Alligator mississippiensis: one gene and its partners. The protein of the gene in region 1 interacts with the protein of each later gene in a pairwise test. Links are inferred from orthologs where the notes say so. Each region holds a gene or a part of one and is shown in the gene's direction. Other genes may lie near its edges.

Evidence for each region.
Region 2: the proteins of CCDC172 (region 1) and FAM13C interact in binary tests that used the Homo sapiens proteins (3 or more experiments, as listed by UniProt). The two-hybrid records come from large-scale screens. The link is inferred for Alligator mississippiensis from reciprocal best matches to the Homo sapiens genes CCDC172 and FAM13C.
Region 3: the proteins of CCDC172 (region 1) and HDDC3 interact in binary tests that used the Homo sapiens proteins (3 or more experiments, as listed by UniProt). The two-hybrid records come from large-scale screens. The link is inferred for Alligator mississippiensis from reciprocal best matches to the Homo sapiens genes CCDC172 and HDDC3.

What each region holds. Positions count from the first base shown.
Region 1 is NC_081829.1:89,992,354-90,000,101, reverse strand, and holds the start of CCDC172 (coiled-coil domain-containing protein 172), read left to right. Parts: upstream 1-4,728; 5' UTR 4,729-4,759; coding exon 4,760-4,810; intron 4,811-7,748.
Region 2 is NC_081829.1:46,977,624-46,985,256, reverse strand, and holds the start of FAM13C (protein FAM13C), read left to right. Parts: upstream 1-4,587; 5' UTR 4,588-4,790; coding exon 4,791-4,962; intron 4,963-7,633.
Region 3 is NC_081834.1:842,514-848,084, reverse strand, and holds HDDC3 (guanosine-3',5'-bis(diphosphate) 3'-pyrophosphohydrolase MESH1), read left to right. Parts: upstream 1-4,072; 5' UTR 4,073-4,117; exon of another isoform or gene 4,118-4,134; intron 4,135-4,260; 5' UTR 4,261-4,300; coding exon 4,301-4,412; intron 4,413-4,497; coding exon 4,498-4,553; intron 4,554-4,622; coding exon 4,623-4,994; 3' UTR 4,995-5,053; downstream 5,054-5,571. Other genes in the region: tubulin polyglutamylase TTLL13, read left to right, coding at 473-673, 1,372-2,004; NGRN (neugrin), read left to right, coding at 3,090-3,229, 3,303-3,413, 3,508-4,072; VPS33B (vacuolar protein sorting-associated protein 33B), read left to right, coding at 5,249-5,344, 5,504-5,571. UniProt on the Homo sapiens protein: ppGpp hydrolyzing enzyme involved in starvation response.

The sequences.
Region 1 (7,748 bases):
TTAAATGTAGAGATGGACCAAAAAATAATTCACCAGAGGCAAAGGCAAGTGAAGAAAGGTACCTGTGGGGGAAGTGCTAGGGTAGCAAATGTCAGCTATAAGCTGCCCAGTCTCCATCTCCATAGCACTTTCTTGAACTCCAGCCACTTTAATACACTTTCTATGTTCAAAATGCAATTAAAAATGCTTTGCTTTTTCAGATGCGAGTTAGAAGTAGCTATTACGTGAAAAGATAACTGGACATTTTTGGTAATGATAAAATAGATACGAAGTTCAAATGGCACAGAAAATAAGAGAAAATGGCTTGGAAATAAAAAAAAAAAAAAAACTGATGTGTTCACAAGACCAGAAAAAAATCTTTATAAACTATAATTCTGTATCTTCTATATTTCTACTAAATGCTATTCTATAGTGGAAAGTCACCTTATATAACCTACTTCTAACACTGCCCTTTCTTTCTTTTAGTGCCAAGAAAACAAACTTATGTTTTTGGATGTCAAAAAAAAAAATTGCTTTCGAAATTATCTGAGTGGATGTCATTTGAAAATAAGTTACATTGACAGGTTTTTTATGCTTATTTGCAATTAGAAACAGAAACTTGTTTTCCCCTTCCTACACAACCTACAGTTTATAAAGAAAACTTTACTATTATCACAGTAGCTTGATTACAAATGGCAATTACCAATTTTGAAGTACACTAGAAAGACATGACCTGATTACGGGCATAGTGATTAAGATGTAGATATAGATTGAGATTAGAATGCACTGATATGACCGAAAATAAAATTAAAGTCACCTTTGGAAAAGCCAGAGACTTACAAAAGGTCTTATACTTTGCAAAGAGTTGAGTTTAATTTGAAAAGACTGTAGCCAAATGTTATTTGTATTGCAAAACATCTAGGCCTAGATCCTCAAAGGTATTTAGGTGCCTTATTCCCATCAGTTTTGATAGGAACTGAGTGCCTAAATTCCTTAAAGGATCCTAACCTTCTAGACTAATAATCCTGCCAAACTCACTAAATTTGAGACTATTTATGTGAAGCATTTACAGAAATTCAGTCTAGGTCACAACTAGCAAATGAGATTTTGAAGAGCATTCTGCTTCCTCCAGTCCAGATTTACAAAAATCTTGTATGTGATATCTTCCAGAGGTGTACAAGAAAGCTCAGCGGGCATTGAGAAATGAACTATAGTTGGAGCCTATCTCCCTTGTCTATGAAGAGCAGTCCTTTTTCCATAAAGTGAGACTACAAGCACCCTGCACAAAGAGCAGCTCTTTCTCTAATAAATGACACCGAACAGCATTCCCAGCCTTCTCCCACCCTTCAGAAACCTAAAGCAGCTTTCTCATAGTTCGAAATATGAAAGCCCTTTTTGCACCTTTACCAGTAAAGTCTTGACAACTTCAAAGACCAGTTTTTTGTTTTATTTTGCTCCTTGATTCAAGGATATGTAGTGCTTTTTTTCTTGCATTTTATAAAAATGGCTCTTTCACTCACCAGGCTTGGAGAAGAAATAACTATTTCAATTGCTATAAATTCTTCATTTGACTCGTAATCTGATTTTCCTTTGTCCTTCGGGTAGAAAGCTTCACCGCTCCAACACATTGCAGAGTTCACCACTGCGACCTCTTCCTTCAGCAGCACTTTGGAGAAAGAAAGACAGACAGACAGACAGACAGAAAGATTGACTGATTCATTTTTTTAAGATTCTTCAAAGCCATATTTTGTTTCTTAAACAGTCGCCCAACCACAGCATAACATTTTGCTTAAGTTTTCAGGTCCAGCCAGTAATTTTGAACACAACCACAACTTCATAGTAATGGTCTCTTTCTACCTCCAAATGCTCCACTTGGAGACAGGAATGGAAAATATTCCCTCAGGAAAATATTATGACAACACCTGACAGCACCACCCATAGCTCTGCTAACAGGACAGTAATGGGACTCAACACAGCTGCCAAGGACTCCAATTTTCTCCAACATTAACAGCGCTGGAGTGGGGTAAATGTACCTCCTCCTATATATTTGCTGTCTCAGGTGAACAAGAGCAGTCCCTCTTACCAGTCTGAGCTTTGAAGTGTATTTAGTAAGCCATTTTAGAAAGCTTTTGAGTCAAAGCCCTGTCATTTTTACTTTATGCAAGTGTTTGAATTGATATTAATACGACTATTATAATGAGTAAGGATGATAGAAAGAGACACATGTATAGTAAAACTCACTTATAAAAGCACACCAAGGCCCAGTTCTGAGTTCTCTTTTTTGAACAGATTAGACCTGGAACATGACCACTTGAACGGCGTCCAGATTGGGGGCTGATAATACATCGAACTTCCATTTAGGCAGACTCACTGACTTCACAGGGTTGTAAGGTTATAAATGAGATGAGACTTTTGTCTATTTAAACATTTTCCAACTTTCTGTACCCATCTGACATGAAGAGGGAAAAACTCCATGCTTGAACGTTTATGTGAATGTTGAATGCTGAATATCCAACACCCCCCCACACACCCAAGAAAGACAGACAGACAGAAAAACAGAAAGACAGAAAGAGAAAGAAAAAGGGAAAGACAGAAAGACAGACAGACAGACAGAAAGTTTTTTTTTGTTGTTGTTTTTTGTTTGTTTTTTTTACTTTTACTTTTAAGAGGCATTTATTCCAGGGAGGGTGACAAATTGGGGCCAGTAGAGAGTATGTACAGGTTGGCCCGAACACCTGGGCCTCACGGACAGACAGAAAGAAAGAAGGAAGGACAGAAAGAGACAGACAGGCAGACTTCAAATGACACAAAATGACGAAAAAGAATTCTGCTCTGGAGAAACACAGGCAGGAATAATGAATAAATCCCCCCCAAAAATCGCCGAAAAACCTTTGTAAAAATAAATGTTTAAAAATACATTCCAACTAAAGCTCAGCCGGTCTCTTCTTTCTTGTGCAAAATACCTGTTCCCTCCTGGCCCTTTATTTCTTTCTCCTGTTCTCGCCTGTGCTTGCTGTCTCTGCCTGCTAGCTTTTATTTCTTATATTTCTCATCTGTATTCCTGAACTACCTCAGCACTTCTTTACTTTTTACTAAGCTTTTTCTCCGGGTTTTTCCCCCCTCCATTATTAGTTTTTTCCTGTCCCCCCTCACCTCCACTTCTCCTGTCCATCCTTCTCCACCGCTGCACCTGGCCCTGCCTGCCCTCCCCCATCGCCTGCGTTCCCAGTGCCTCATCCCGTTAGTCTCCATCCCAGCTTTATTCTCCAGCTTTGAATCAGTCTCCCCTATCCCGGCAAGCGGTCTCTCCTCACGACACAAAACTTGCTGAAGCGGCCATTTCTGTGGCATTGAGGCGAGCCCCAGGGGCAGGGCCAAAGGCGGCCAGGCAGGGTGGGCGAGTCAGGCTCGGCAAAGGCGTCCTTCCTCATCCCCTGCAAGAGCCCTTCTGAAGCAGCGAACAAGCCCCCTCCCGGAAGCAGAGATTAAGAAAAACCCAATTAAATCCTGGTCCTGCCACTGAAGAGACAAAAATGAGCCTAGACGCCTTGTTTCAACAAATCCTCCTCACGGAGCAGCAGGCCGAGGAGAAGCGGCGCCTCACACACCGAGGTCGGTCAGCATGGCTACGGTCAGGATTGTCCCTTCGACTGCGTGGATCTCCGCTTCCTTAGGGACCCTTGAAGGCTTCCCTAGAGGCCTTTAAACCATATTGTGACAGGGGGGATGTTTTTGATGTTGCCATTTGCTGGCTGCCAAGTGTGCAACTCTACAAAATCCTTAGAAACGGCCCATTTGAAGGCCAGAAAAGACCACCTAAGCATGACCTCCTGTACAACACAGCCCCATAGCATTGTGCTGTCACAATACCTCATTTTTAATGGAGGCGGTGAGCCTCAACCAGGGTGCGGTGGCACCCTGGGGTGCCACGAGATCCATTCAAGGGTACAAACCCCTACACGCGACTCGCAAGATAAACGCTGAGATTTCCACCGGGAATCTCTAGTGTCAAAAACATCCTAACCTCTCTTGGGATTTCTCTGAACGCTTTGCAACAAAAGAATTGCTCAATTATTTTTCACAGTCAAAAAACAAGTGAAAGCTAAGAACTGACATTTTTTGAGGGGTGCCTTGAGTCTCACAAGGGATACTTTGAGTCTAAAAAAAGGTTGAGAACCACTGAATGAAGGCATGTATTCTAGAAAGGTGTCCAGGCTTGATTTTTACCTATGCAACTTTAAGGGTTTGGGGGGACCTCCCCAAGGACCGTGTCACTGGGCTGCCCTCAGTTTGCTTCCTGACTAGGCCTTAAGTTTTGGCTGTACCTTGCAGTAATAGCAATTAGCCTGCAAATAGTGGCCTAAAAACCCCAACTTCATCAGCAAGTAAGGAGAGGTAGGAGCGGGGGCAAGCAGTAGCAGAGCTACCACTGAACTGCATACCCAAATTCATTTTTGTTACGGTATAATAGGTATTGGGCACTCCTTGTTCACAAACTTAAGATTTATGTCCATGATTCTGAAAAACTTCTTCCCTACATCTCTTTGCCACACCAGAATATGTATTTCCACCTCTAGTAACTGAGGATAATAGTGGGACACCATCTTCCATAGGAAAAATTCTGTAGTTAGCAAGCTAGCATTTATAGAGCTGCACGGAAGTTGTTCTTTGACACCACTCCATTTTGCACGCCAGAATCCCTCTTATATTATTCTGTGTATTTCAAGGTTTATTTTGCATTGCAGTTAAACTGGAAATAAAAAGAAACCATGAACAAGTTATGGCAATTAAAGAAGAGTTGAGGGAAGCAAAAATACAATTAGAAACTAAGGTACAGTAATAATGTTCATTATATTTAGTATATTAATTGCTGCTTTTGGGATAGCATCTTAATGAAATGATTCATGAACATTTTGAAGCAGCGAACTTCATACTAGTTTACAGACTAATTACTGCAATATTTGTTTAACGAATGTCTTTGTATGCTTAGCATCATTTTACCTGAGCTCTTTACAAGATCAAAGATGCATCATTCAATTCCCAAACCAAGAAGGATCACGTCAGGCTGCTTCCTAAACTTGCTTCAGCAGCACTTGTCTTTGGGGACAGGGGTTGCATGAGGGATCTGCAATTTGGAACATGCCCATAGAGTTCAGCTGGAAGCATGAAATGTATACGCATGGGAACATCAGTGGCCACTTCTCAGTCGCATCTTATTTTTCCACTCACAAATACCTTTATCCTGTGCACACAGAAATACACCTAAAGACTCCTAGCACTAACTTGAGTGAGCCTTTGATCATACCATAAGCTTTCCCATCTCATCCCCGTGTCAACAGTTCTACTTGGCTGCATGTTATATAACATGTACTTGCACTCACCTTTCAGGCTTGCTCTGTAAAGAGCATTGCTTATCAGTACATTTCCTTATTCTCAGGTTTTATTAATTTTTTGTATAGCAACTGTGGAGCCTTATTTTGAGACAAATCCTTTAATTTTGTACTCTCAGCTTTCCTAGTACAAATAATTGCAAGTGTAAATGATTTAGACCCACTTATTTCTCCCTGCACATAATGTCTAAATGGCAATAAGTGTGCTCTGGAATATATTCAGTCACAAAATGTGGGTGAATAAAGGACTGACCAAGTCTCCTTTTAAAGTCAGATTTGTCAGATCCCTAGGGTATTCCGACATTACAGAAACGCTTTAAAGATAAATCTTGCAACCTTCTGGATTACATTTAGTCCTTTAATTTTTTACTACCAGACTCCTAATTTTATCAATAGTTACTATGTTATTTGTTTAGTTGATTAAAGCAATGAAACAGGTGTTCTAAGGGCTCTAGGGGTAATTTGCATCCCTCCAAGCAAACTGGGCTCCTATGTGATCTGTTAACAAATATACGCACTATATAAAAGCATTGAAACATCATTGTGATGAATAGATAGAAAGATGTGTTAGAGTAAAAGAGAATCTACAAAACTGTTTGGATGTATTAACAAAGCAGAACCCCAATGCTGCTAACCAGTATGGTTTCATGCAACTTCATGCACATCAAGAGTCCCACTGAAGTCAGCAAAAATACGCTATATGAAGAATCAGGGCCCAGGGTAGATCAACAACAGGAACCAGTCTGGAGTCAACTCAAAGAGGGAATGGGTGATATTTGTTAGGTAAATTCCTATATGGCCCTGCTCATAAAATTAATTTATGAAAACTACCATTTTATTTGTATACCACTGACTTAGTATTAACTCATTGTGATTTATAGCAGGTTTGTGTGGTAGGTATAGGAGGTCCCAAGAGGAGAATCATTATGGTACATGACTAATGGGAAAAGCTAGAGAAGCATTCTTAATCAAATCTTTTATCTTTTATCCACCAGAATTAATTATATTCTTACCAGTATCCACAAAAAAATATTACAATTCCAGTTTAGTTTGACATTGATTCATTTATCAAAAGGAAATGATACGAAGAATAAGGAAAATATGAAAATTCATTATTTCAATCAGATCACACTTAGATTTAAAGATTATATATTGACTACCAAGATTATTTATATTGTAATTTATTTTTCAAATATAAAATGAAATTTATTCTACAAAGCTCAAAATGTACTGACTGTAATGAATATAATCCAAGTACTACTACTTAATACTGTAAAAATAAATGACTCCTCCAAATTTCTGCATATCTCCTTTTTAATCTCACACACACTGGGTTAAAGCCTGAGTATATGAGCGTTAGAGTTCAAAAGTGTTTTGACATCTATTTCACAGAGACTGCTTGTGGTCAGTCGAACGCTCCCAGGAAATATTAATTTTTTTCTGTTGAGTAAAAAACCAACCAGCATGTAATTAGAACTTGAATTATAGCTTTTTCCCTTTCATGGCTCAATGTTTTTCTTTAAAAATTCTATTGCTAAGGCATAGATTACTTAGGTATTTTGGGGACAGGTGTACTATAGTTCAGCTGGTTATGCTCCATAGAATAAATGCAGAAGCACACGTTCACTAACTGCTTTAAATTATGTAACAAATACATGATCCTTGAGCAGTGAGCTACCTGGCTAATGCTCACCATGTCAAACGTACTTCCCAACCCCTCTCACTTTGCCCTAGCTTAATTTCTTTTGAATCTCCTCCCATCATGTCCCATTTGGCATGTCATCTTGCCTGTGCTCCTTTTCAACTTGCCTCTTTTGTTTCCACATCTTGTTAATTCTTCTTTTATAATATCACTAATTTCTAGCCTTGCCTTTCTCACCATACCACTTAAAATTCTCTCTGTTTCCCCCCTTGACTACTGCCATCCCATCTTCTCTTGAGTTTCCTAACACCTATTGTACTCCTTTCATGTTTGGTCAAAACACTGCTGCCAAGATCACTTTCCTTATTTATATATATTTTTTATCATTACACTCTCTCTTCCAATCCCTCCACTCCACTAGCTCCACTTCACCACCACCATATCAAACACAAGCTTATTGATGGCCCTTAAAAAATTCACCTGTACCTAACTTACATGCTGATGTTTATTATTACATCATCTATCCTAAACTAGCCTACCAATCTGGCTGTGCTGGATAGCCTGGAATAATTCTTCAAGTAGACATGGAAATGGGTTGAACAGCCTCCCTCCTTTGAGATCGACTATTGTTTACAAATTAAATCTATAAATAAAAATGTACGCAGAAGGAAGCTTTGGATGTGGTTTTATGGCAGACTGTCTTGTGCCCATACACTGATCCTCCATTCCTCTTCCCC
Region 2 (7,633 bases), about 43 Mb from region 1:
TATTGAAATCCTCAGCCAAGCATAATGCTTCTGCCGACGACTTCAGTCAGTGACACTGCACCCAACGTTGAGTATTTTCATCCAAATCTATTAAAAATTTCCAACAGGATCTGGTCACATAACTCCACCTTGGATACCTCCTGTGGCTTCAACCACTCTTCTAAGAGATCGGCCAATTGCTGCAACAGAATCCGCAGGGATTTCTCTTCTTTTTTCTTTTGGGGCAGAATTTTCTCTTCAAACCCCATCATATGCTTTCTTTTTATATCTGTTACTATAAGTATGTACCTTTTATTTTGTGTGTGCCTGAATCCTTGTGGCCAACACTCAGATGCCCTCTCCAAGCTTCTGGGAGTGGGTCAATTCATTCTCTTCCTTTTTTTGTTTTGTTTTGTTTACTTTTTAGTGCAACTGCCAGCTGCATCTCATGGTATGCCTCTTTGGGGATCCACCCCTCCTCCTTCTCTGAGCTCCGCTCTCTCCGTCATCAAGAGAAATCCTGAGGTAAGCCTCTTATCTTCTATCTTCTGGGAAAACCCTTTTTCTCTTTTGGCCACTCTCTCTTTTTTTTTCTTCTGAGACTCCCATCTCTTCTTTCTTTTTTTTCTTCCGGAGCTTCTATCCTTCTATGGTAATAGCTCCAGAAGCGGCGTTCCCTGGCTTTTTTCGCTGCGTTGTTGTTTACTCTTTCATAGTCTGTCCAAGTGATGGAGGAAACATGCCACAATATGTGTGAATCCAAAGATCACCAGAAAGACATATGTCTTAATACATATGTCCTTCTTTGAATCATACAGTTAGGCCCCTTCTACATGTGCAGGTTAAGGTGAGATAGGATCTAATGTGTGATTCATGTAGTTGTGCCTCCTGCCGTGCCATATGTGCATGCCAAGAGGTGAGATTATGGGATTGCATATTGGATCCCGTTGCACCTTACAACCAGTGCAGGGGGAGCACACTGGCAAGAAGCAAGCTCCCATAGCTGGAAGCCCTGTGCATCCCAGCTGAGGGGTTCCCAGCTATGGGGGTGCCCCATGAACCCAGGGCAGGGGGATCATAATCTCTTCTCTGGGATTGCAGGAAACCCTAGGGATGGAGGGTTGCCACTGAGATGATCTCCCTGCTCTGGGGGTGTAGGAAACCCCCAGGGACAGAGGATCACCATAGGGGTGATTCCCTCATCCTGGGAATGTGGATCATCTGACCCTAGGGATTTCCCACATGCCCAAGCCATGATCCCCATGGACCAGAGGTTTTGCACTGGGCATGGTGCTCCCCTGAGGTTGGGAGCCCTGTCAGCTGATAGCATTCCTTTCTTGTGCCTGTCTCTTGGCTACTTTCCTATGATCAATGGATTACCATTTCAATCTACTTTCCAAATTCCTTAACTGTCTGTCAATCTCCAAGTCACTCAAGAAGTTATGCCTCAGTTAAGGAGAACTAATTAACACTTTAAAACTTCCTAGTACTTTCAAGATATTTACCACGTCCTTATTACATTCCCAAAATGGGTCTGATTATAGAACAATCTTGAGACAGCCATCAGTTCTAGAGAGCTGTACTGTGGTATGCTTTATATATTAAAGGCATATTAAAGTGATTCTGTAACTGTGATGGTCCAGAAATTATGCAAGAGGCAAGGATTTGTTAGGATGATTTATTTTATTGCACCAACTATATCGCTGGGATGAAGTTAGACATGCTTTCAATTGCAAGAATCAACAAAGAATGTCTTGTCTAACTTTAACCCAATACATAATTGGTTCAATAAAAGATATTTCCTTAACAAATCCTTGCCTTTTATGTATTAACCACCATTCCAGTACCACTGTACATCTACATGTGAAATTAATGTGAAGCTTATTGATCCAGAGTTTATTGCTCCTGGGCATGCCATTTGAACATATACCCAGGACCAGAGTAGGTTGGGCCAGGTCAAAGTAGCCCTGGATGACAGGGGGTCCTGGGGGTCAGCCTGCTAGCCTGGGGTTCTTCCAACCTGGCTCAACATGCTGTGGAGGTGCTGACTGGATCATCAGTGTACTTCATTGTTGGGCTACCCATGCAGTGCTGCAGAGTAAAAAAAACTCCACAGCAGGATAGTACTTGTACTTACCATGTACTACCTAGCAGTGGAGTTACTTACTTTACTTCAGCCTAATAAAAGCATATGTGTGTTGCCCTGTGGGGTCAGGCTAACTCTCAGGATCTCAATATTATGCTGTTAGACAGAAGGGTGTGGTATACAATTGCACATGGACACATTAAAAAATCAATTAGGTGCATACACACACTGTAGGTGCATGCACCCCCACTAGGCTTGCACACACACACTACCAATTCAGGCACATACACATCCAAAATTGCCAGCCAGGCAAATACACACCTATCACCAATTCAAGCACCTACACACACTATACACACCAAAAGAAATTAGACCAGAATCAATTACCAATACCTGCATACCCAATACACATACATGGATCACTAATTCATATAACATGCACACAATGACATACATGTATATCAGTTCGCATACATACCACTCACCTACACATACAGACAGGTGAGTTCCTAACTTGGGTGTTGTGGTGTGTATGCATGTGCTTGGGTTACCTGGGGGAAGGTTAAGGTAAGCGAGAGAGAGTGAAAGTGTAGAGGGTGTAAGTCGCCGGGATCGGGATGAGAACCAGTAGACTAGAAAGAGAGCTGAGCTGAGGCTTGGGCTTACTTTAGGTTACTGCTGGTGGAAACTGAGATGAAAGTTGCCAGTGCCAGGATTAGAACCGGCAGACTGGAGGGAAGTTGGGGTAACTTAAGGTTAATTGGTGTTAATTGAAAGCAGAAAGACAGCAGAGCAAAGGAGCAATGCCAGAGAGAAGGCTGGAGCTGGAGCAAGGAAGCTACAGGGGAGCCGAGAGGTACGTGGGGAGAGGAAAACTGGGATTGGGGCTGTGGGGGTGGGGGAAGGCTGGAGAACACATTGAGAGAGAGAGAGTGCAAGAGAAGGCAGAGAGAGATAGGGATTGGGGAGAGCTGGCAGGAGGCAAAAAGTGGCGGGAGCGGGGCTGAGAGCCTGAAGAAAAGGGACAGAGAGGAGGCAAAAGGTGGTGGGAGTGGCGGGGCTGAGAGCCTGCAGAAAAGGGACAGAGAGGAGGCAAAAAGTGGTGGGAGTGTGGTAAGAGCCTGCAGAAAGCAACAGGGCTGAGCACCTGCAGAAAAGGGACAGAGAGGAGGCAAAAGGTGGTGGGAGTGGGGCTGAGAGCCTACACAAAGCACCAGGGCTGAGAGGCTGCAGAAAGGTAACAGAGAGGAGGCAAACAGTGGTGGGAACAGGGCTGAGAGCCGGCAGAAAGCAACAGGGCTGAGAGTCTAGAGAGAGGGAGAGAGAAACTGGAATTTAAGATAGGGAAGGGACCAGGGCTCAGTAAAACCCAACCCAACTCAGGGTTACAAATGATAGTAGTTTTATTGAACAGGGGAGATGGTAACACTCTTTTTTATTGGTTCCTTTACACACACACACACACACACACACACACACACACACACTGGAAGCAGGGGTTAAAGAGGCAAGAGGAGGAAAGAGAGAGAGTCCAAATTGGAGGAAGAAATATGCAGGTGATATCTACCTGTCCAAGGCTGAAAGTGGGTCCTTGATGGCCAGTTGGGGTCTCCTTCAGCTCGGTGTTGTCCATAGGGGGTCGCCGGCAGTGCCTTAAGTGGATAGGCAGTGTGACATGGAGCTGGTCTGGTCCAGATGGAAATGGTGTTCCCAAGGAGTCAGTCTTCACTACCCCTTTTTATGGGGTAGACTACCTCTGATTTCATATGGGGAGGGCCTGTCCAGGCAATGTCAGTCCTGTTCCAGAGGGTTCCAGGTGTTCTTACTGAGCATGCGCAGCCTGGCACAATGGTGGGTTGCCTCATCTTTTGTTTCTTGAATGCTGAGGGTGGTTCCAAGGGCTGGGTCATTGGCCCAGGTATTGGTGTTGATGGTTTGGTCATTCAGAGCTATTTTTAGTTCCCCGCGTGGGGAACAGCTGATTAAACAGCTGGCGTAATGCTGGCTCACGTGGCTGCAATCCAGGCTCCTGCTCTTATGGCCGGCAGGAGGTAAGTTCACCCCGTGGGGGTCTGTTTCTGGGGTTTGGGGCCTGCGGAGATTGCCCTCTCCCCTTCGAAAGCCTGTGGGGGCATTACAGATAAGGTGCTGTTACAGATAAACAGCCTTGTCCTTATTGATTTCTCTGCAGTCAGTGACAAAAATCTGTTAATTTAGCTTTTGCCACTGATAGAAATGATTTGGGAACTTCATAGAACCCGTGCTATGTAAAAGAAATATCTGTAAAAGAGCAAATAAAAAAGAATCTGAAATAAATTGTGTGACTCTCAGTAATTCTTTGTTCTATGCAGTGCACTGCACATATGCTGTAGAAACAGGTTTTTTTATGAATGGTAAACTGGGAGGGGCATAATGTCATCAGATTCTGATGTCAGCAGAATGAATGAAATACTTGCTTATCATATTGCTCCAAGAACAAGAAAACAGACACACCACCCCAGTTTGACAGAAAAAATTCCTAGAACAAATTGTCTTTTGCTGACTAAATCATTGTTCCCTCGTGTCTGAAATGACTGGATGACATGAAGATACACATAGAATAATATATATTTAATCTCCTACACATCCCTTCAAGAACTGTTAGTGGAGCATCCCTCCTGTGACACTGCTAATGGGCTCAGTGAACTGAAGACCTGGCACTGTATTTTTGCTGTTGTCTATCCCAATGTTCTGCTTTTGTCTGCAGAATTCTTTGTTGAAGCTACAAACCCTAGAAACTGACTTGTGCTCTGCATTTTTGCCAGCCCAGGAAGAAATTCCTCAGCTACCGGCTTCCAAGGATCCAGTCCCTTCATCTGTTCAATCTAGTGTGCAAGATGATGGGGCCAGTTATGGAGGTAAGACACTAAATATCATGATGTGTTTTCATTTGCAATTATAAGATAGCCTGCTGTCTTGTAGTTTAATCTAATATTTGTCATCTTTTGAGAAGTGCAGATGAAATATGAAGGCTGAGGCACAATATGTTGCTGCCAGTGCTATGAAATATAACAAGTCATCCCTTTGTTTATAAATAGTGATAACCTATTTTTCATACCTATAAATCTTGCTTTTAAGACAAGCTTTAAGAATCCTGCATTTTCAGTTTTGATCTGCTTTTATCACAGTAGGGTTTTTGTATGTTCAGACAGTATGGTCTTTATTTACTGTGTTACAGCTGCATTCTGTGTGATGTTCTGCCATTTCGTGTAATTCTATTTTTGTAATGTTTTTTGTCAGAGCAATATCACTTCATTTCTCCTATTATTGATTCTAATTTAATGTATCAGCAGAGAGATAGTGCAGGTGAGTTTTTATAGCATGCTGATTGCAATCTCCCTTGTCCATCTTATATATTAAGATGTGTCCCATTTGTTTGTTTATTTATCCATCTGTCCATCCTCAACATGGAAACCAGTTCTTGCAAATAAACAACCGTAAGGTTTAGCATCATTTTCTGTCATTCTTGGCTTGTACTCACAGGACTGACAGAAGTAGGAGCCTAGACAGAAGAGGAACTAATGCTTAGGAAAAATAGTTCAAAGTAATCAAGAATATCACACTACATTTTAAATTTGTATGATATGCAAGTTTAAAATGTGCACTATGTAGGGGCCACATCAAGGTAAAGAGGTCAGTATTATAAGGCCTAATCCTTTTTTCTGCAAGGCATATTTTATGATAAAAAGCTCAGTTCAGGAAACCATATTTCAGAAGCTTCTTATTTATTTTGTACAAGGCAATTAATTTTATTTACAAATATTTTTATAAAATACACTTTTCTTCTTTAGACTCTTTCAAATGGATGTAATGAGCTGCAAAATTAAGGAATACACACTTATAACCCTAATTATTGTAAATCTAATCCATACCAAGAATATAGCCTGCAAAAAGAGTGACATATTTTGGCTTTTGAGTTGTTTAGGGGTTTTTTTCTTGTGTTTTGTTTTTTCTGAATGCTGAAACAGAAGTTGGAGAATATTTAATATAACAGCTATGGTATTTGCTAATGAACCTAGTTTCTGACGTGTACTTGAGGTAAAAAAAAATGGAGGCTACAGGGGCAAGATCTCAGAGCTTGTACAAAACCTGCATTCTATGTATTGGCAGGGTGTGCTTTCTGTCCTTTTCCTATTTTACATGATTTTTATACCCTGATGGTTTCATAACTCAGAATAATTTATACTCAGTTTAAGACCTTCTGTAACTTTTATCTTTGATGTGAATTGGACTTCCTTAAACTGTTAAAACCCTCCCAGTTCAGACAACACCTCTAACACTCATCTGCTCATTTACATTTATGCAAGAGTATCTTAGATGATGACACCCAGCTCAAATATATGTGATTTGCCACGCTGTTATTTCTAACCTGGGTTTTAGTGAAAGCTCAGCTCCTTATGGATTTTAATACACACCATGCTATGATAATTCTTGCTTTTTGGCTTTTCTAATTAGTAGCACTGGCTCCTATTCTGTCTTTGAAAAAAATGGTCTAATTTAGAATTACAGTTAGGTGAAACACAGTAGTCCCAGGTTCTGTTAGCAGTTATACTGATATAAATCTGGACATGGTCAAATTTACACCAGGGTAACTGAGATTGAAATCTGGCCCATAGAGTATATTCTGCCCTACTATGCCTGTATTATCCCATTGTAGCAAAACCCCCAGTTTTTCTTTTTTTAAATTTTGAAATACATTTCCTCAACTTACCGTAATGATTTCTGACTTTCTCTCTGCCCTCTCCATACCTTATAAGTGAATACAAGTAATACTAGGTAAGCTAAGTTCCTGTATGCTATTATTGTAATAAGCCGCTTTTTATATTGTAAATAGTGTTCTGTTCCTATCATTTTTGCATTGATTATTATTGTTTCGTATTAATATTGTATGGTTTAGGCCTGTATCTGTAAAGTAATGTCAAGTCTCCATCTTGTGTCCCCTGCCCAGGCATACCCTATTGTAACTCTGTTGTAACTGTATGACTCATACCTACCCCTCCTATGTAAATTGGTTCCTGAATGAATGGGGATGAATGAGGGTGCTTGAGAGACAATGGCAGTAAGACTAAAAATAGCTCCCCCGAATGACTGAGCCATCAACTTGATGACCCAACCATTACCCTGCATTGACTCTCCCTGGCTCAAGATTTGGAAGAGAGAGACTGCTGCAGAAATCAGCCAACCCACCACTATGCCAAGGCTGCACATGCTCAGTATGAGCATCTGGAACCCTCTGAAATAGGGCTGACTTTGCCTGGTGTCACAGGCCAGCTGGTCACTGTGAGTGTATCAATTTTATCACAGGCCAACTGGGCTGTTTGATTCAGTTTTGGATTGAGGAGGCAAAAGTTGGGTGTGGAATGAAGGCAAATTTTTTATAGCTTACACACACACAACAGTTAACAGAAAGATAAATGCAATAAGCAGATAAGGCAGTATAAAAGAGCTAATAGTAAATAATAACAACAGATAATAACAGATAAATAGATCAATCTGTCACAGGCCAACTGGGCACTGCGAGGGTATTAG
Region 3 (5,571 bases), on another chromosome or scaffold:
CTGCAGTCCCCTTCCTCTTGCTCATCCTGCTCCCTGCCTTAATCTGCTCTGTGTTCTGCTCCCTGCCCTGTGCATCCTGCCCAGTCTCTGCTCTGCGTCCTGCTCCCTGCCTTGCGTGCACTGCCTGATCTGATGTTCTGCTTTCTGCTCCATCTGGTCTGCTGCTCTGCCCTCTGCGCCCTGCCCTGTCTGTGACTGTGCTGTCTGCCCCCTCCTCAGTCTGCCACGCATCACACACACAGGCTGCCTAGGCCGCTTGTGGCATGTGTGCCACAGGCTGGCCACCTGTATACCAGTGCACGCATCCAGGGCATGCCTACCTCCTGGGAACAGAACCACGGGGCTCGGCCTGTCCTTCCAGCCAGTGCTGGCCACACCTTGTGGGAGCCTGACTACTCCTGGGGTCCCCTTGCTCCCTGCTGACATCTGTGACCCAGCCCTCGTGGTAGCTCCCAGCATGTTTCTGTCCCAGGCTCCACAGGTGCAGCTTGACTCCATGCAGCCCCAGGACATCATAGCCCACGAGGAGACAGAGAGGGTCAGGGCTCTTCTACGCCGTGAGCACCTCATCCGGGGCCTGGGCATTGTGGACCAGCTCTCCCAGCTGCTCCTCAGCAGCGAGCCCGGGCCCCTGGACATCCTCGGGCCCCACGTTGGTGTTGCTGAGAGCCAGGTAGGGGTGGGCTGCTCAGATCTGGCCTCTAGGGCTGGCACAGGAGGTGATGGGCAGGCAGAGACACCAGCCAGGCACCCCAGGCCCTGACTTCCCCACACAGCCAGGCTGGAGGCAGTGGACCTGGTAGCGTGAGTTTCCAAGGGCTCTACCATGTTTACAGCCCTTTTCCCTCTTTACAGAGTTCCCAAGGGGTATCCCAGCCCCTGGGAATGAGGGCGCCCTAGACAATGTCTCTGGGGTATACTCCATCTCTGCGGGCATCTGTCCAGACCTGGGGGATGGTGACACAGCTCAGGCTAAAACGGTTCAGAAAAGAGCCACAGGAATGATGCGGGTCCTGGATACGTGCCCTGCCCTGAGAGAGCAGAGATCAGGGCAGCTGTTTTAACAAGGAGAAGGTTGAGATGCGACTCGAGCAGCCTTACCGACCTCCCTGGACCAGGATGCGTGGTCCTAGGTGGTGACAGCTCAGTGGCTGGAGCTGGAGAAACCCAGGCCAGCAATAAAGAGGGTGCAAACCTAGCTGGGAGCCCCTTGGCTGCTGAACCACTGACCTGGGCATGGGGGTGGGAGTGCCAATCCAGACCCTTCTGCCCCTGCTCCATCAGAAGCCAGGGCCAGGGGCAGTCAGCAAGTGAGCGCCTCTGCCCTGCGACAGGCCCGGGATGTCAGCGGCCGTGTCTGTTTTCTTGCAGCCGCCCTTCCTTTCAGACACACTTCGGAACCACGAGCCCCAGAGCTTAATGACCCTCATCCCCCTCTCGCTGCTGGGCAGGGCAGGCCGGTACCTGGGGCAGCTGCCTGCAGCCAGGGTCCAGCTGCTGGCCAGTCAAGGCTACACTCCCAGCCTCCCGGGCCCTCTGCCAGGCGCAGGCCAGGCCCTGCCCTACCGCACGCTGGTCAGGCTGCAGCACTACCCCCCGCCACAGAGGAGTGTGGGCTGGCTGGGGGGCCACGTGACGAGGACGGCAGCAGGGCCTGAGCCCCACGCACCCGCCAGCATGGCGAAGGCGGGCGGGCAGAGGTTCTTCAGCGCCAGAGACCGGGCACGAGGCCGTGAGTACAGCTTGGAGGCAGAGGTTGCGCTGACGCCCTCGGGGCGCTCCCCCAGCTCCTGGGGGGACGTTGCTGGCTCAGTCATTGCACAGGACCCTGCAGGTCTCTCCCCCAGCCGGGTAGCAGGCGACCGTCTTCTGCCTCGCTGTTTGCAGGGCACCACCCTCCCTCGCACAGCTGGCAGGACCCTCTGGCTTGCTGCCCTGCCTCCCGCCGTCCGCCTCGCTGCCATAGGGGCGCCTGGCAGCAGAAGGGAGCTGGGGGCTGGGTAGTTTTCCTTGCAGCTGATGGGATGCTGCCCCCAGGGCCGGGGCAGGCACCAGTGTGAGGGCGAGGACTGCCCGCTGCCCTGCTGGCTGCCACATCAGCCCTAACCCCCATGCTCTCGTTGCAGAGGGCCCCGTGGTCAGGCGGCCCCTGCTCGCTGGTGCTGGCTATCCCGGCTCCCTGAGCTGCCTGCCTCACGCCAGGCGAGCCCCGCGCCAGACGTGCAGCGACTACACGTTCCCCTCGGTGACAGTGCCCCTCTACCACGAGGCCACGCGGGACCTCGCCCTCACCTCTGCCTCTGCCCCCCTGGTGCAGCGCACAGACGCCTCGCGCCGCTCCAACGCCACGGCCGTCCTCAGCCTGCCCCGCCGGTAACGCAGCTCGGGGCTGGGGCCCCGCAGAGCCAGGCTCCCGGAGCAGAGGTCTGCCCGAGCCAGGGGACAGCTTGGCCACCGTACTGGGGCTGGCCCGGCCGAGGCCACATGGGCGAGGGGGAAGGAGACCCACCCTCAAACCCAGGCCTGCTGCCCACACCTGACTCTGCCTGGGGGTGGTGCCCGCCCGTGGCTGGCGCGTGCCCCTCGTCCGTGTCACTGGCACACCCTGCTCCTGCGCTGGCAGCCGGGAGCCACGGGCCGCGGTCTCCCCAGGCACTGATGGGGGGGTCCTCTCCCCTGCTTGTGCCCTGTTGACCCGGGCCCCTCCTCCCTCCGCAGGAAGTGGACCTGAGCCTGCAGCCTGACGGGCCTGGGGCCGCAGCCGCCGGGCAGCGCCTGTGCGGGGCCAGGGCTGCTGTCGTGGAGCTGGAGCGGCCTCCATCGCCCGCACGAGGGGCTGGCACCCGCCGCGGCTGGCCCCGCCCTCGTCCCCTGGCTGCCCTTGCTGGGCCCGGCAGGGCCGTCTCGGGCGGCGGCGGCGGCTCCTTCCGCCCCCGGCTTTGTATTAAAGTTTTGTACCGTTTCCCGCCTCCCGGCTCTGCTGGGCGGGGCCTGCTCCGCTCCCCCCGCCCCCGCGGCGACCGGCACGTGCGGGCCCCGCCGGTAGCCCCGCCCCGGCTCCGCTCAGCCCACGTGAGCGGGCGGCGGGCATGGCCGTGCTGCTGCTCCGCCGAGCGCTCCGCGCTGCCGGCCCCGGGACTCGCCTGCTGGGGCGGGGGGCGGCCGCGGGGCCCGGCGGGGGCGAGGACGAGGACGAGGACGAGCTCGAGTCGCTGCGGGAGGCGGAGAGGTGCCGGGCCGGGCCGGGCCGGGGAGGGGCCGGGCGGGGCGGAGGTCCCGGCTCACGGCGCCGTGTCCCGCAGGGCGCTGCAGCGGCAGCGCGTGGCCATCCGGATGCAGCGGCTGCGGCGGGAGATGGAGCCGAGGGTGGTCCCCGAGCGCCTGCTCACCTGGCAGGCCATAACGCAGATGCGGTGAGCGCGGCGGGCCGGGCCGGGCCGGGCCGGGCGGGGCGGGGCGGGGCTCGGGCCGCCGCTGACTGGGCTACGCCCCGTCCCCCCCCGGCAGGTTCCTGTGGCGGGAGCTGCGGGACGAGTGGCCGGTGTCGCGGCTGGCCGAGGGCTTCGGCGTGTCGGAGGACGCGGTGCGGCGCGTGCTGCGCAGCAAGTTCTCGCCCTCGCCGCGGTGCCGGGACAAGCAGGACGCCCGGGCGCTGAGCCGCCTGTGCCCCGCCGCCAGCCCGGAGCGCGGGGCCCCCGCCCCGGCCCGCGCCCTGCCGCCGCCGCCCGCCCCGCGCTCCGCCCTGCCCGCGCCCCTCGGCCCCGCCGCGCCCGCCCCGCGGCACAGCCCGCCGCACGCGCGCCCCCCAAGGGGCCGCCCTGCCACGCCGCCCGCCGCCGGCTGCCCACGGCCCGAGCCGGAGCCGGAGCCGGCCGCGGAGGCGTGGGACGCCGAGGAGGCGTGGGGCGCGGGCCGGGAGCGCGGCGCCCAGGTGGTGCAGCGGGGCCGCGACTTCTTCGACAGCCGCGGGACCTTCCTCTACCGCATCCCGGGCGACGGGCCCGCGGACACCCCCGAGCCGGAGCCGGAGCCGGGGCCGGGCGGCGCGGACTGCTCCCCTTGCAGGAAATAAGGGCCGAGTCGCGGGGAGAAGCGGTCGGTCCGTGTTGATTAAAGTGTGCGTGTGCAGAGCGAGAGCGGCGGTCCGTGCGCTCCCTCCGGCGCGGCGCGGGGTGGCGCGGGGCAGGGGCGGGTGGCGCCGCGCGGGGCCGGGGCCTGGGCCTGGGCCCGGTTGTCACATCTCGCTGCCATTACCCACAGTGCCCCGCGCGGGGGGGGCGGGGCGCGGCGCGGCGGCGCCATGGACACGGACGCGGGGCGGCTGCTGGAGGCGGCGGACTTCGCGGCGCGGAAACACGCGGGGCAGCGGCGCAAGGACCCCGAGGGCACCCCCTACATCAACCACCCCCTCGGTGCGCCCCCCCCCGCCCCCCCTCACTCCTCCCCGCCCCACGCGGGGCCGGGCGGCGCGTGACCCTTTGTCCCCGCGTGTCCCAGGCGTGGCGCGGATCCTGTCCCACGAGGCGGGCGTCACCGACATCGTGCTGCTGCAGGTAACCCCCCCCGCCCCGCGTGGGCTGCCCCCGCCCGCGGGCTGATCCCCCCCCCCCCGCCCCGCGCAGGCGGCGCTGCTGCACGACACGCTGGAGGACACGGACACGACGGCGGCGGAGCTGGAGCGGCGCTTCGGGGCCGAGGTGCGGCGCCTGGTGCAGGAGGTGTCGGACGACAAGGCGCTGCCGCGGGCCGAGCGCAAGCGGCTGCAGGTGGAGCGGGCCCCGCGCTGCTCCGCGCCCGCCGCGCTGCTGCAGCTGGCCGACAAGCTGTACAACCTGCGCGACCTGCAGCGCGCCACGCCGGCCGGCTGGTCGGAGCAGCGCGTGCACGAGTACTTCGCGTGGGCGGCGCAGGTGGTGCGCGGCCTGCGGGGCACCCACGCGGCGCTGGAGGACGAGCTGCGGCGGCTCTTCGAGGCGCGCGGGCTGCAAGAGTGAGGCCGGCGGGGTCCCTCCGCCCGCCCGCCCGCCCGCGACAATAAAGGCCGTGAATGCCGCGTGCGTGTGCGTGTGCGTGGGGCTGCGGGCGGAACGCCGCGAGCGGGGGGCACGCGCCTCGCCGGGCCCTCCTTGGCGCCGGAACAGGAAGTAGCGCTCGCGGCCGCTTCCGCACGCCGCCGGTTGCCGTGGCAGCGGGCACTTCCGGTCCGCCGGGAGCCTAGGCCCGGCGCGTCGGTTCCGCCGGTGCCGCCATGGCCTCCCCCGGCCGCCGCGACGCGCCCGAGCCGCCCGACTTCGCCGTGCTCAAGCGCCTGGCGCGGGACCAGCTCGTCTACCTGCTGGAGCAGGTGGGCGCCCGGGCGGGGGCGGCTCTACTTCCAGGGCCAGAAACGTGGCGGGGCGGTGACATGCGGGTGCGCGGCCCCTCGCTGCGCGGGCACGAGAAGACGGTCTGGGAAAGCCGGTGTCACCCGCACCCCCGTGCCCGTCCCCTCCCCCCCCCGCAGCTGCCGGGCAGGAAGGACCTCTTCATCGACGCGGACCTGATGAGCCCCCTGGACCGCATCGCCAACGT